3 linked regions of the Drosophila melanogaster genome follow. Changing the gene in region 3 together with the main gene of any one other region gives a genetic interaction. Each region holds a gene or a part of one and is shown on either strand. Other genes may lie near its edges. The genes, in order: stg, gcm and crol.

The links.
Region 1: of crol (region 3) and stg, changing one suppresses a phenotype caused by changing the other (phenotypic suppression), as found in Drosophila melanogaster (one study listed by BioGRID).
Region 2: of crol (region 3) and gcm, changing one suppresses a phenotype caused by changing the other (phenotypic suppression), as found in Drosophila melanogaster (one study listed by BioGRID).

Annotation. Positions count from the first base shown.
Region 1 is NT_033777.3:29,251,464-29,257,350, forward strand, and holds stg (string), read right to left. Parts: upstream 4,338-5,887; 5' UTR 3,466-4,337; coding exon 3,410-3,465; intron 2,499-3,409; coding exon 1,115-2,498; 3' UTR 680-1,114; downstream 1-679. Other genes in the region: CG45544 (uncharacterized protein), read left to right, coding at 5,201-5,434. UniProt on the Drosophila melanogaster protein: This protein functions as a dosage-dependent inducer in mitotic control. It is a tyrosine protein phosphatase required for progression of the cell cycle. It may directly dephosphorylate Cdk1 and activate the Cdk1 activity.
Region 2 is NT_033779.5:9,578,998-9,583,662, reverse strand, and holds gcm (glial cells missing), read left to right. Parts: upstream 1-1,917; 5' UTR 1,918-2,070; coding exon 2,071-2,468; intron 2,469-2,543; coding exon 2,544-3,660; 3' UTR 3,661-4,098; coding exon of another isoform or gene 4,099-4,152; 3' UTR 4,153-4,165; downstream 4,166-4,665. Other genes in the region: CG31709 (uncharacterized protein), read left to right, coding at 4,099-4,152, 4,216-4,570, 4,632-4,665. UniProt on the Drosophila melanogaster protein: Transcription factor that induces gliogenesis. It determines the choice between glial and neuronal fates. Also has a role in the differentiation of the plasmatocyte/macrophage lineage of hemocytes.
Region 3 is NT_033779.5:11,806,311-11,811,436, forward strand, and holds the start of crol (crooked legs), read right to left. Parts: upstream 3,129-5,126; 5' UTR 2,816-3,128; intron 2,663-2,815; exon of another isoform or gene 1,704-2,662; intron 1-1,703. Other genes in the region: CycY (cyclin Y), read right to left, coding at 4,807-5,126.

The sequences.
Region 1 (5,887 bases), on a different chromosome or scaffold from region 3:
ATTTTCGGAAAGTGTTAGGCTTTGCCTTCAATTTATAGAACAAGTTAACAAATTTAAAAGAGTATTTGTATATCGTATGCGTGGGTTTAAAAAAAAAAGCATCACGTGTCCATCTCTAATTTAAAGAAATATAAAGTGACATACAAATTTTCGTATAACAGTCTGCCAAAAAGTCGCCGCTGTTATACTCAATTTTTTACGGACACAGCGCCCTCTGACATTTACAAAGTGCAACTACTCGCTTTGCGCGCCAATTTCAAGTTGTTAATTCTGTGAAAACCCATAGAGTACCGAAATCCCGCACATAATGCGCATTTGGCGCCATTTGAATGATAAAAATTCCAGGAATTTCAGTTCTTTTTCGTCGTGTATTAATGTATATTTAAAATTGATGGTCTTTGTTCAATAATATTGCCTTTTTTGATGCAAAAATAAGCTTTGCTTAAATAATAATCATTACATGGTAAAATATTTGTTTTCTTGTTTGCATTTGCGTTTCGGTGCCTTGTTGTTCGGTTACGGATTACATAAAAATAAACAAATAATAAGCGTAAATTGTACCTAGCAGAAGTTTACAACTTTCAACTCTTAAACGATAGATCTTATAAATAAAGTTTTATGGATGAAATTAATGAGCGTGTTTGTTTTTGTGTGATATTTGTTTTCTTTTTTTTTTTTTGTTTTTAGCCATTTTTTGTTCTGCTTATCATCTACAAATGATTAAGGGGTCTGATTTCGGGATCGGCCTCTTAAATTTAAATGACATGGTTCCTCACGTTTTTAGATTATAATGCACATTTTTCGTTTGCTTGTTCGTTGGTTATCTTTAAAATTTGAACTAGAGTGCTTAAATAATTGAACTAAAGCCGAAACCATAAAAACAATAATAACTAAACAAAAGCGTTAAATTCCAAATGAAATTGTCTGTTTTGCATGAATGCGAGTGTCGGGTGTGTGTCTGCGTCGTGTGCGAGAAACTTAGTCTACGGATTAACAAATGAAAATCAACAAAAATCAACTTAAAAGCAGCATGAAATAAATACCCCTATACGTCTATATATACAATACGATAACACCCAAACTTAGATAACGAACTGCACGATCATCCCACAACCTACAGCATCAGTCGCGAGCGCGACTTCTTTAGCCGCCCGGTGGCACCGCCCAGGCCATCGCCGTTCCAGGACTTGGACTTGGCGCGAAAGTGGCGATAGGCCTCGTTGTAGGCGGGATCCAGCATGGTGCGGTAGGCATGTGGTTCGCACAGCTCAACGTGCGACTCGAAGAACTCCTTGTAGCCGTTGTGCAGCAGATAGATCTCGGGATAGTGCAACGCCGGATAGGCGTTGGTATTCCTCTCGCGATCCAGATTACGCAGGAAGCGGGACATTTTCGGTCCACGCTCCGAGGAGAATTCGCAGTGGAAGATAATGATGTTGCGCTTGTGTCCCGATTCGGCGTTCTGCTGCTGCTGCAGCTCAGTCTGTTGGACGGTGAGGAACTCATCGAGGATCTGCTCGGTGGTGTACAGGTTCTTGGCTCCCTCGATGTGGCCGCCCTCGAATTCGTAGGGGTAGCGGCAGTCGATGATGCGGTAGCTGGCCACCTTATCGCTGAACTCGCCCTTAAGCAGGCGAGCCACTGTTTCGCTGGAGATGCTCTTCAGATCCCGATGACGACCCTCCATCAGGGGCAGGGCATAGGCTTTGCTGAAGTCGCCGATTAGCTCGGGCTCGTTGCGGTTCTCGGAGCGGGCCAGGGCGGACATGATCTCGGCGTCGTTCAGGGACATGCACTTCCTCAGTGGAGGGGGGTGGCTAATCGTGACCTGGCTGAGTGGGCTGGGTGCGGGGCAGTTCTCCTTCTCAACGGCGGCGCAGCGATGGCGTTTGCTCTGGATGGGCGAGCAGTTGGCCGATGCTGGCGGTTCCGGGCGCTTGAAGCAATCCCGGGCAGTCTCTGGGGTCTTTGGTGGTGGGGTGGTGGTGCTGTTGGTGTTGCTCTCCGTCATGCTGAGGCACCTTCTGACCGAAGGGCGGCGCATGGACAGACCCGCTGGCGATTTGGCAGCAGGCTGCTCCTTGATCTGGCCGCTGATCAGCGAGTTTAGGCCACTGGGGAAGCCCAGGGCGGTCTGTTGGCTCTGCGACTCCATCTCGAAGAGCTCCATGTACTCATCGTCCATGGAGGACTCCATGGAGCATGTGGAGGACAGGCTGTTGAAGATGCGGAAGCTGCGCGCCGGCGTGTGATCACTTGATACTCCCATAGCTGGCAGAATTTTCGGCTGGCGGACGATCTGGAAGCGCTGGGGCGAGCCCTCCGGCGAGAGCAGACCCATCAGCTCCGGACTGGCCGATCGCTGCTGATCCTGGGGCACAACGTCGTCGTCGTAGAACGACAGCTCCTCCTGGTCCATGCTCATCAGTTCCAGGGAACGGCGAGCACGACGAGATCCACTCATTTTGTTGATGCTACTCGAACTGCTGGTGTTATTACTGCAAGAGCAAACAAAGAGAGGGGGAGGATTAGTCAACTGTTCGGCATCGAGGAAGAGAGCTGCTTTTGCTTCCCTAAACTCTCGCAAGAGCGGGTCATTAAACCCAGCTAAAAATACTGACAAACTGGTGGTGGTGGTGGCGTTGGTGGTGTAAAAACAACAAAAATACCCGAGAAAATACAGAGAGGGGTTGTTGTAATTGGGTGAAGAGGGAGCTGAACTAGAAATTTACTTTAATGCAGCTTCGAAAACTGGAATTTTTGGGATTCGACTTGCGCACACGATATCATTGATACCATTTTTTTTTTTTTTGATAATTTTTACAATTCCCTAAAATTGCGAGGGAACCGTTGCGTACCGCCTTATCTTCTTCTTCTTGATTCTACTTAAGCATTAGCGGTTCTCCAAATGGAATTCCCTTTTGCTTTTCGCATGCATCTGCTTTTCAGCTTGACTTTTGCTTTTGGGTCACACGTCACGCAAGCGCAGCGATAATACAACAAAAACACGCCACAAAGAACCGCAAAGAACACGGAGGAAAAAAGGAACAAAAATCGAAAAAAAAAAAATGACTGACTGACGGACGACGGACAAAAAGCATTTTTTGCTGCTGCTTTTTTTTGGAGCCTCGCGGAAGCCGGTTTAATGAATGAAAAACGGCAAGCGAGCAACAAAACAACAGCTGAGCGCCAAAATAAAAATCGGGCAAAAAGCAAACGTGCCGAGCGTGATAAAAAGAACTCTTACTTTTGTTGGCCCCATCGTTTACATTTCTGTTTTTTGTATTTTTTTTTTGCTTTGCTGTTGTTGCTGTTGCTCTTGAACTTGCACTTTTTATCGCGTATTTTCAACTGGTATTCCTGGTGCAAAAGGGGTTTGCTGTTGCTAATCCTTGGGCGGCATAATTACCTGATATTGCAATCCATGCTGCAGTTGTTTTCCTCCACAATAGTTTCCCACAGCATTTTGTTGGTTTTGTTGTGTTATGTGTTGCGTTGGTTGCTTCGAAGAGCCGAAGATGTTTGATTTCGCTGGCGAGTCTGAAGCCGAAGAAATTGCTAAAACACAATTTGTTCTTGGTCACTCTGCACTCATTTACAGTTTGTTTTTAGAATTTGAGATGGTAGTCCTTGGTTTTTGGCTAGTATTGCATTTTAGTTAATTTAGGTTTTTTTGTTTTTTTTTTTTGTTAATGTGTCCGTTTGAGCATGATTTTTTGTTTTGTATTTCGGAGTGTGGTTGTGCGAGGTTTTTCTTTTTCTTCAATAATTTGAACCGCACAATCTCAATTCACCGAACGAGGAACCGAAAGGCTGAACAAGAAGAGCTGTTGACTCGACGACGAACTGAGAACGAATGTGCTGAATATGCCGAGCAGCTGGTTTTTATAACCGCACCCCGGCCGATCACGATCAGCTGATGAGCTAATGGGCGCGAGCGAGATGGCGCGCGTTTTTTGTTCTCTCTGCTTCGCTCTTTAGCTCTTAGTTCTCAGCTCCTTTCCTTTGCCTTCCCATCCTATCCTTTCCTTCCTATCCTTCCCAGAAGTGCCAATAGAAGAGGAAGGGAGACGGGCAACGAGCGACACCAACACACATAACGGGGACGGGGCCAGAGCCATGTGCGATGCGAAAAGGAAAACTGGGAAAATGGGAGAATCAGGATCATATGGACTCAGTTTTGGAAATCTCTGCTCATGTGGAGCACAAGAGTGCCGGCAACAGGTAGAATCCTTTCCCCTGCACTTCCCCTATCGCAAAATCCCGCACCGAATACCAATGTCCCGAGAAACGAGGAGAATCTGGCGCCTTGGTGGTCGCCAGCTCTATGGAGGCCACTGATTTTGGCGCGCGAGCTTTTATACCGCGACGCGTACCGCCGAAGGGGATCCGAAGTCGCCACAATTGGAGCCGAAGTGGAGCCGAGGAGGCTCCGAACCGAACACATGTGAAAATAGTGTGGAGCCCCAAGAAGCGAAGAGGAAACGCTGAAGAACTGCGCGAATCTTTAAGCAGAATTTCAAGGCGGCATCGATTGTGTCGTTTGCAGGTAATAATGTGAGATCCACGCATTCCTGCTGCCCCCTGTCCCCCCTTGTAACCCCTCCCTGAAAACTACATATCAGCAGGTAGTGGCCGCAGTCATATGATCGCCGCACCGGCGGGATGGGCGGTCGTGGAGGGGGCGTGGCTCCTTTGTGTTCTGCAGACGTAGACGCCAATGTCGTTAAATGAGCAAAGCTTCCAGCCACAGAGATCCATTCACAGGTAGCACTCTACACGATGGACCGTGTGTCTTTAATGAGAATCCGTACAAACACAGATCTTAAGCTAGATAAACTACTACTAACAGTAGCAAACACGTGGAAAATCATGATGTCAACCATGCGATATGACCAATAATCGATAATGTGAAGCTCAGACTAGTTGCCCACGCCGAAGCTCCACTGTAGCCCCTCGTTTGTGTGCAATCGCGGCAAAGTTAAAGCAAAAATCGAGTTACATATGCGCCGATGCCCTGCGGGAGTCATTCTGGAGGATCCGAGGGGTTCACTAAGGAGGGTTGGGGGTTTGCGAACACCCATGGGCTGTGCTGTGCAGTTCGAGTGTGTTTTTGTAAGGTTCGCGGCAAACAAATGAAGGACAGGCCAGTGCAACCAGGCCATATCATTCACACCGCTTGAAGAGCAGGCGAAAGTAAATGATTTCGGGACCAACCACAGCCGAAGCCACCAACCAAATGAGCTACGGTTTCATTCCGCTGAATTCCTTTGGCCAGCTTTTGTTGTTGCTGCAGGAAGAGCCGAGAGGATCATCTTTATGGAAAACAACCAGCACAAAACGACGAGAAGGACGCAGAAATCATAAAGTGGTTTTGAACAAGTTAAAAAAGCGCATAGGGAAGGAAAAAGCTCAGAACCAATCTCATTCATAGCGATCCGAGCGCACAGTGTGGCAAAATACATATACTAGAGGTAAATCTGTGAACTTACTACTACTATTTAAAAGTAGTTTCTAGCTCGAGTTGTTCTGCTATTTTCATTTTTACTTACCAAATTCTTATCCAGTTTTTATGCTTTTATTCATTCCAATTATAGCCTCGCAATTATGGATTTCAGATAATACCACCGTGATATCGCCGGGCTCCAGAAAAAGGGCAAAGCGGAGGAAGCGGAATCAAAAGCGTATGCAAAAGCACACTCACACACGTGTGTGTGCGTGTGTGAGTGGGTAAATTTGATAAAGAATGAGAATAGGCTGCGGAGAAAGAAATTGCAGCAACAATGTGAATGGAAATGGGAATGGGGCACAACAATAGCGGGGGACCTCAAAAACAGCATAACGAACAAAAAAAATCACAGGACCAGCAAAAAGTGAAGAGCTAAAT
Region 2 (4,665 bases), 2.2 Mb from region 3:
TGTAATCTTTTTCATTATTGAGTAGTCATAAAGTCTTGGCATTTAACGAACACATTATCCTACACTCGGTCAACAAATCTTTTGAGCACTCACTCACATATTGTGAATATCCATGGCCATATGTTTGGCAATCGTTATAATCCCTGGCCAAATCCCTTCCGACCAGAACAGACTATCTATATGCCAGGGGCGTAACTTCCCACGACACCGCCGACGGATAGGGTAGATGCCGAATTTACGATGACATTTATGCGTAATTTTTGGTCGAATTTTATAGCCGCAATTGGACTGAGTTTCATTGGGAAAGAAAAGAGTTCTGTTCTCCACTGGCCCCCGCAGAGAAAGTGTCAAATAAATTTGATTGCCAAGTGATGTCTCGTAATTGAAACGGAACAGTTAATTCCGGGCATCATTAAGGCGACACACCCACCTTGAGTGCGGGAATCTGGGACCAGGTAGGATGTGCTTCCCCAGCACAGCCTCATAATATGCCACGTCATGACTTTCTTCTGTGTCAACGCCCCTCGAGTCCCGGTCGGAGCACCCTTTCCCATTGTCCGCCGTAATCCTTTGAGTTCCTATCGCGTGCTACGATCCTGATCTTTGGGCGACTCCTTGGCAGAAAGGCGCCGCGGGTTGCTCGCTCAGTTCGTGTCATAATTGCATGGCATTTGGTCTGTCGTGGAAGTGTGAAAATTATGGAGTTTCCTCACCCTTTCGTCATCTTAATGATTATGTTTGTTTCGTTTATCTCTGACTTGAGATCGCCAAGGGGCCCAAGGAATTTGTTTGGCAAACTTTGCTTCATTCATATGCGTGAGTTATGGCATTTGCCTTTGGGTTTGTAGGGGAGGTTTTCCAATATGGGATTTCTTCTTTTTGATTTCCGTTTTTTTGCGTGCTAAATTGTGTTTTACGATTATGAGATCCCTGATTTCATCTTGAAGATATCGGCAGGAGCTCGACATTTCGGTTTCTTTTTTTGCAAACGTTTATTTCTTTATCGATTTTGAGATCGTGAGAAGTAGTTCCGTTAGCTATACCGTTGCCTTACCAAATTCTATAATAGTGACTATATATAGTGGTAATATTTCTATATTTCTGTGAGTCATTTCCATTAAAATTTACGTTTGATTTTGAAATTTTTTTACAGAATAATTTCTACCTCTGAAGTTAAGTAGATTTAGCAGCTTTAATGTCCGCATTAAAAAAGTCTTAAAGCCTTGAACTAAATTACTTTCCGTGCTTCGTTGGAACCATCTCCATTTTGTTCGTAACTCTGCTTGCCCTCCAACCATTTCACTTTGCTCCCCATTTCGACATCCACATCCAGTTCGAAAGTAAATAGGCCCGACCACTGGCATCTGCCAGTGACTGTCGCCAGGTGTACCCATCAGAACCCATGCCATACAGCACATCCCCATCCACACACAGCCCCATCCCCATCTCCATTTCCATTACTGATGTTGTAAACTTTTTTTCTGAACTTAATTAGCTTTGACTGGGGTTGGGGCCGTGTTCTTTGCCATCGAGTGCCTCAAACCCCTGGTTCTCATATCGTACAATTACCCAGTGGAGCGCGTGCTGCAACCGCAGGTGCTAGAGCAGCACAGCACTCGTCTCCCTGCCCAGTTGCCAGTTCCCAGCTCCCAGCTCCCTGTGCTCAAGCTCTCCCAGCTCCCAGTTCCCTATAGAACGAATTCTCCATCTCCAGCTGCTGCTACCACTACTACCAATCAAACCTGCTCGGGAACTCTCCTAATTTCCCAAACTGGAGTGCCGGATAAGGCGGATAAGCCGCACACAAGCGCACCCGAACTGGAAGTCAGCATGGACCAATGGGCGTACCGCTTTGCGACCGAGCAACCCTCGTGCGATTCGACCGCTGGCAACTTAACTGTGCTGCGCAGAGCGGGCCCAGTTAGTCAGCCTTGCGCAGTCGATGCGAACGGACGCGTCGCTCCAGAGAAAAGTTGAGAAGAAGTACACAGTAGTAATAGACTATTGAGAAGGAAAACTATAGTGACCGCGTGTGAACTTGAAACTAACGATTACATAGACACATCAAAAATGGTTTTGAACGGCATGCCTATAACAATGCCAGTACCGATGCCAGTGCCCATGCCTGTGCCCAGTCCTCCGGCCACCAAGTCCCGGGTGGCGATCGACTGGGACATCAACGATTCCAAGATGCCGTCGGTGGGGGAGTTTGACGATTTCAATGACTGGTCCAACGGACATTGCCGGCTCATCTACTCCGTGCAGAGTGATGAGGCCAGGAAACATGCCAGCGGTTGGGCCATGCGAAACACCAACAACCACAACGTGAATATCCTAAAGAAGAGCTGCCTGGGAGTGCTCCTCTGCAGTGCCAAGTGCAAGTTGCCCAATGGAGCCAGTGTGCATCTGAGACCCGCCATTTGCGACAAGGCCAGAAGGAAGCAGCAGGGCAAACAGTGTCCCAATAGGTGGGTTTTTGACTAAACACAAAATCCAAGAATTGTCAAAACTAACTCGGTATTTTTATTTTTTTTTCTTGACAGAAATTGCAATGGTCGCTTGGAAATCCAGGCTTGCCGCGGCCACTGCGGCTATCCAGTGACCCACTTCTGGCGCAGGGACGGAAATGGAATCTATTTCCAGGCCAAGGGCACCCACGATCACCCCAGACCCGAAGCCAAGGGATCCACGGAAGCCAGGCGACTTTTGGCAGGAGGAAGACGTGTGCGAAGTTTGGCCGTAATGTTGGCCAGGGAATCGGCGCTGAGCGACAAGCTGAGTAGCCTGAGACCCACAAAACGGCAGGCCAAGACTCAGTCCATCCAGGAGAGCAAGCGCAGAAGGATGGGTGCTTCCGATGTGCTCGAAACCAAGCAGGAGTTAGTGGTGCCACCCACCACCTACCTGCCCACATCGACGCCCACACATAGCACCAACTTTAATCAATCTCAGGGTTCATATGTCCCAGCAGGACAAGGATCAGTGATCAGTCAGTGGAATAGAGAGATTCACTACGAAACGGAGGATCCATGCTATGCCAATGGAATGTACTCCTACGATATGCTCCACTCACCTCTCTCAGCGCATAGCTCCACGGGCAGTTATTACCAGGAGAACAAACCGCAGCAACTGCAGCACTCACAATACCAGCAGCAACTCTCACCGCAGCAACATGTACCAGTCAGCTATGATCCCAGCCAGCCAATCTCCTCCAGCCTTCAGTGCGGAATGCCTTCGTATGAAATATGCGACGATACGTCCAGTTTGACCAGCAGCTCGGGCTACTGTTCCGAGGATTATGGCTACTACAATGGATATCTACCCAACTCGCTGGACGTGAGCAATGGAAGCCAAAGCCAGAATCTTAGCCAGGATGCAAGTTTCTACACAACCAGCTCGGAGATCTTCAGTGTGTTTGAGTCAACTCTGAATGGCGGAGGGACCAGTGGCGTGGATCTCATCTACGACGAAGCAACCGCCTATCAGCAACATCAGCAACAGGGAACTTTTCCGCATCTCACCAATTATCAACAGGAGCCGCAGGATCAGATGCAGTCCGCCGACTACTACTACAGCAATACGGGAGTGGACAACTCGTGGAACATTCAAATGGACGCGACATATCACCCAGTCAACAGCACGGATCCCATCTATTGCTAGGGGATCGGGATAAGATCTCTCATCGCAACTACTATTACTGAGCCACTCAAGCGTTGTTCTAGTCCCTAGTTGATTGATTTCCATTCATGTTCCCATTGCTTGTTGGTCGTGTATTATTATATATTGAACGTTTCTAGTTTGTACTTTTGTACTTGTTTCCCAGCTATTCCAAAGTTTTAGAGCACGTAAGAGTAATAGTATTCTTAAGCACATAGAGTTTTAAGTCACATTTCCCACCTATTTATGAACTTTTTTGTAGTAATAAACATTTTTGAAAGAAAAACTTAATCGAAGCAGCCTTTTTTTGAGAATTGACACGTGTCAAGCAAGGGAGCTCGTAATCATTGTCAGTATAACATTACCAGCGGCAGGATATACAACTAGGGATTTTCCTCAACAACAAGTTTAAATTCGTTAGTCAACCAAAATCGTGTAACAATGGGTGCTTGTCGCCCTAGAAAATGTAGTGCAAATAACCGAACTATGGCAATTGTGAGTACTAAATAAAGGCCTAAACAAATAACAATGAATAAAACCAAATTTTGTATTGAGAAGCGTCGCCGTAGAGCTCTAGTTAACTTGCTATTTTTGCGCCGTCATTTGATTGGACAGGCACTTGGAATTACGAATCGGGAAACTCCAGACCTTAGGGTAAAATCGCGGCGACGCAATCGTAGAAGGAGAATGCAATTCAGAGTCCGTACACCAAGTGATAATGCAATGCGCTCAGTAAGGCATCATGGACAGAATCCAATCAGCCCAGGATCACGGCTACAACGAAATAATCCACTTTGGGGACACGCCGACATTATAACCACAGATAGAGCGTTGGAAGCTTTAAATGGACTTACTACAGGGAACAGGGAACCAAATGCATTGTCAGTAATGGTGCGATATACCAATGGGCGGTGTAAGTTGAGCTGTACTTATTGCTAATACAATGAAGTGCATAATTAATACTCTCTTATTAGATTATTTAAGCTTAGAGCCAAGTGGAAATCAGCA
Region 3 (5,126 bases):
ACACACACACAAACACATGCATACTTGCATACGTGTGTGGGAAGAACGGACAGGGGGGCAAAAGCAAATCAAGCGAAAATTTATTTGCAGTCAATATATGTATATGTACATCCATATGTATGCAAAAGTCACCAACACAACGAAACTAAGGCTGCGTCTGCGTGGAAAGAAGAGCAAAAATATTCTAACTCTAATTGGAAAGGGAATGGGAATTGGAATTGCCTTCGGGGGGGCATTGCAAATTTTACATTTCCAACTATTCCAATTCGAAACGAGCAGTGCTGTGCGGTGCGGTTTCGGTGCTAACAAATCAAATTAATTGTATCTATATCTAGAAGAGCTGTATGTGCGTGCATCTCCTCGACCAGTCAGTCTTCTCTGCTTTTCTTCTAGATTCTAGACGGGGGGCCTCTCCTCGTTCTCTCCCTCTCACCATTCTGGTTTGCTTTTGGCTGCCAGCAGGGAAAAAAAGTTGTGTCTTTCTTGCCATGCCGCCTCCTCTTTGTTCCCTTCTTACCCACTGCTTTTCGTGCACTTTTGTACACGGTTTTGCTTTTTTTATTTTGTTATTCTCGTCTCGCCTCTCTCTCGCTCCTGCCTCTCTCCCTCTCTTTGCCTTACATTGTCTCTCATTATTCATTGAACGACAACGGCAACGTCACCCCCTATCCCCTGGCCCAGCAGCAACAACGTTTTGCACGAACGACGCTACGTACAATTCCCAGCCGCCTAAAGCGGAAAACCAATAAAAACGAATTGAATCGCAAAGCGTAAGTACAAAATAAAGCGAGGAGGCGAGACAGAAAAAAATGAAAGCTGAGAGAGTAGCTAACGAGCGAGCGTGAAAGAGAGACAGAGAGAGAGAGAGAGAGAGAGAGACAAGCGAGTACAGGCGGCGCGTCGATACAAGTTTTGCCTTTTGGCTCACATTCTATATGCCGAGATCCGAAACTCGAGTTATAGTTATAATTATTGCCGCTGCTGCCGCTTTTTATTTTTAAGTTTGTTTGGCTGTCGCTCAAATTTCGACCGAGAGAGCGGCGAATCGAATGGGAAAAAGAGTGAGAGAGAGGAGAAGGAGGATCAAGTTGGAGAAACGTCCGTCACATTTTCATTACAGCCAATTAGTGTGCATTTCATAATTGTTAAACAAAACACAGGCACACATCTGAGCACAATTGGAAAAGCTAAAGGAATTGGAATCGGGAGCTGGGTTCTAACATATGGCGGCGAAAAAAGTGCCAATACGGAAAGCGCCACCGATCGCTTAAAGTGCTATAGTTAATAAATTTTAGAAAAATGCAACCCTGCGTCTGCCCTCTCTCGCTCTAAAACTTGCAAGAATGACACGATGATGACGTTAATGGAAACTCTGTAGCTGTGGATGTGCGCGCAGCTCATACACAAGCACACACAGATACTCTCGCACTCGCACACAAAAACACTCACACACCAATACACTGACAGCGAAGTCGACCGCAAAGTCATTTGATTAATAATTCTCGCATTCTTTTTGGCCTGCGAATTTCACAAATAAACTCAATTGTTTCCAATCAGCCCCGGTACTTGTCCCTCTCCCCATCCCATCATATCCGACCCACCCCCTCTAGCAGCTTCTCCCCTCGTACAAAACACTGCATTTTTTACAAGCTTTAAAAAGGTTGTTCGGTTCGTTCTTATGACGCCAGTATATGAAAATTTACTTGATATTGCAACGGTGGTGGTGGCGGGCACACTCTCCGGCGAATGTGTGTGTGTGTGTGCAACAGTAGTGGCAATCAGAATCGAAACGCCGCGCGGGTGAGAGGCGGTGGTGAACGGCGAACAGAGCAAAGCAAACTGAAAACTGAATGAGACGCGGAGGCAGCAGAAGGCGAGCAGGCAAAGGCGACCGATGTAAAAGTTCTTCGTGCGGCGCGTTCGGGCGGCAGCCGAAAGCACAAAAGTCCAGTGGGAGAGCCAGTGCAGGCGGTTTGGCTTTGACGAGGGATCAATTGATTCGACTCTTATATTTAAAAGTTATTTATTGAACTTCCTAAGTGTGGCATAATAACAAGGCTATCTGATTATCTTATTGAAAATTTGACAGTCAAATATCAAATATAAGTTTTTTTTAATAATATGGCAAAGGCATAACAAATATCAGGTAATGAGTTGATTAGCTTAGAGCTGTAAAAAGCCCAATAATCCCAATCCAATGCTAAAAAAAGTTAACATTTACATAAGCCAGTGAGAAAAATAACTTTAATAACAAGGCGGTTTATCTGATCGGAATACATGAAAATTTAAAACACTTATTAAAATAATTCAATTTAATCTTTATAACCTTATATTCAAATGGAAAAAGTCAAAAAAGCATTTATAAATTACTGATTAAAGTATCCCTTTCAACAAATTTTTATATTAGATGAAAACTTAAACTACTTTTAGCATTCAGAGTAGATAACTAGCCAAGCAGCACCTGCACTTACTCCAATTACAAAAACTGGCTAGAGAGAATCCAAGTGGCCAGCACTGGCAAGAGGTGTGGAGGCAGCGAGAGAGCGAGAGCGACTACGAGAGACACCGCAAGATACAGATACAATGCGTGCTCGAGCCCGCATGTGTGTGTGTGCGTGCGATTGCGTTGTTCTTATTAACGATTTGCTGCCGCTGTCTCCGCCGCTCCCTCCACCAACCCCCTCCCGTTGTTGTGCTGCTTTTTCGGGGCTTGGGCACAAAAAGGCGGCAAAACGGTTAAGCACACAAATTCGGCCGGGTCCAATTGGCCAATTTGAATACGAATGCAAGAGTCGCCAATTCGAATTGCACTCACCAGCGATATAGTTACGTTTTATCCATAGACCAGCGAGCTACCACTCCTTTTTCTGCCTGCAGCAGCGTCCCTTTTCAACAGACGCCGTTCCCGGATTGCTCAATGGCGATCTTGGTTTCGTGGCCCGATCTTGCACATCACTCTCCACTGGTCACTAACTGCATTGCGCGCACTGTACACTTGCGGTTGGCCATTTAATTAGAGCGGTGCCTTTATTTTCTTAACATTTAACGCGGATCCAGAGTTTTAGTTGCGGGCGGAAGAGCGAGAGAAGCAGTGTATAGAGCTGGAAGAAGTATCGATATGACATCGATAGTTCTCCAGAGCTGGCAGTGTGACCGGGCTGCTTTATTTTCAATGTAATTTTGAAATATACCAAATACACAAAAATACCAAATTAGGGATGGCACTGCGTCGATAGCTTTGAAAATTAAGTTTTTCGTAAAGTATTTTATAAATAATAAAAATAATTAGCAGCGTAAATTTAATAAGTTATAAAGTGTAATTGGAATTATAAGATTTTCTGAAAGTATAAACTTAAATAGTAGGATCTTGACTATTTCTAAAGAGTTTTTTTTTTGCATTTGCAAGTGGAGTATTTATAATGTTGAAAATCAATGTGTTTAGGTGATTATCAATACTTTTCCACATAATCTTGTTCGAGATTTTTGAATCCATATTTTGTGGGAGGGAAAGAAAATAAGTGGATTATACAATACATTTTATACGATTTTCGAAAGAAATCCTATGATCGATCTTCTTATTTAGAATAAGATATGTTTCTAAAATGTTTTTATACATAGAATAGCCAGAAGTCCTTTCTATATAAAAAAAAAAAAATGTTTCAAAAACTTTCTGTTTCATATGGCCATGTTTTTGACTTCGAATAAGCGCGCTTTCGTTTTCAAAACCCACGTTTTCGAAAAAAAAGTGACAAAAACTAAGTTATAGAAAGTCTATTTCTTTGATTTGCTTTTATTTAGCTTTATCGTAAAATAAATTACAAAATAAAATACATTTTGCATATAATTCGTATCCTTATATGTCTAGTACATTAATTTACTCACAAATCTTTTGGGTTAATATTGCGCTGTGCTCCTTGCAACTCTCGCTCGGATTTTGTTTGTTTTTCTAATGCTAAGAACCAAAAAAAAACAAATCAACTTGCCGCAGGCCGCGCCCCCAGAAAATCGATTTGTGCCTGAAGCCTGACGCGGGGAAGCCGAATATCGTTCATCGTATATAAAGCTAAATGGAAACTATATAAGAATCACACGAAATCATATTGAGTTATTAAGAAAACATGGATGTAAGGTAAACAAATTAAATTCGTAACAAATGTACAGGGAAATGTTTTTCTTTTCTTTTTTTGGGCGCGGACGCGCTAAGTAAATGACAATTTGGTGGCCGTGGCCAACCGTTGAGATTAAATTGCTTAGATGCCAGCTGGATTAGGTGGCCAAGTCAATTACAATATTATTTAAGCCGTTTTGTACAAACAATTCTCTACTGTTCGGTTTAGGTTTCTGTATCTCTTTCTGCTTCTGTGATCTTTCGTTTGGCAATTGGTTACGCGTTGCTGTAGTAGTACTTCTGTGTCTCTGTTTAAAATCATCATCCAAATCCATGACTGCATCGGTAGTTTCGCTTACATACATCGATCGCATGTACGTATATGTAAAAAGTGGTCCTTAATTCGAGACGTGTGGTTAAAACGCTTTTCTTCGTGTATGTATATATTGTATATAAGACTGTGATTCTTTCTGCACGTATTTGGGTGTTCCTTTTAGAGTCTGTGTGCTGGCTAAAAAGCCACCCGCAAAAGCTTATGCAACCGGGTGGCCTACGAAATGTATCTGAATCTGTGTGCAAAATCTGATTCAGCGCAGAGCTACGGTTCTCAAATGACGTTCGATCGGACTACGGACTACAGAGTACGGATCTCATTGCTGCTGTTGGTTGGTTGTTCGGTTTTAGTAAGCTAATATAAATCACGATAGTATGGCCACGCTGCGTCGCGGCCCGCCCTGACTGATGTTGTCCATGGAGGACCACTTCTTGATCCCATTCTTCAGTGCCTCGGCAGTGACCTTGTCCTGCATCACACGCGACATGGCCTCCAGCTTCTGGGCCCGCTCCTTGGACAGCGGCTCCGTGGGGAAGTTGAGCTCGTTGGCCTCGGCGAGCGTGCGCAGGTCGAAGTAGTATTTGGCGTACACCGAGGACGGTACATTGATGTTGAACTGCAGCAGCTCGAGGAACTGGCGCTCCAGCTCGTTCATGTCCTCCACGGTGATGTCTTTGAGTATTT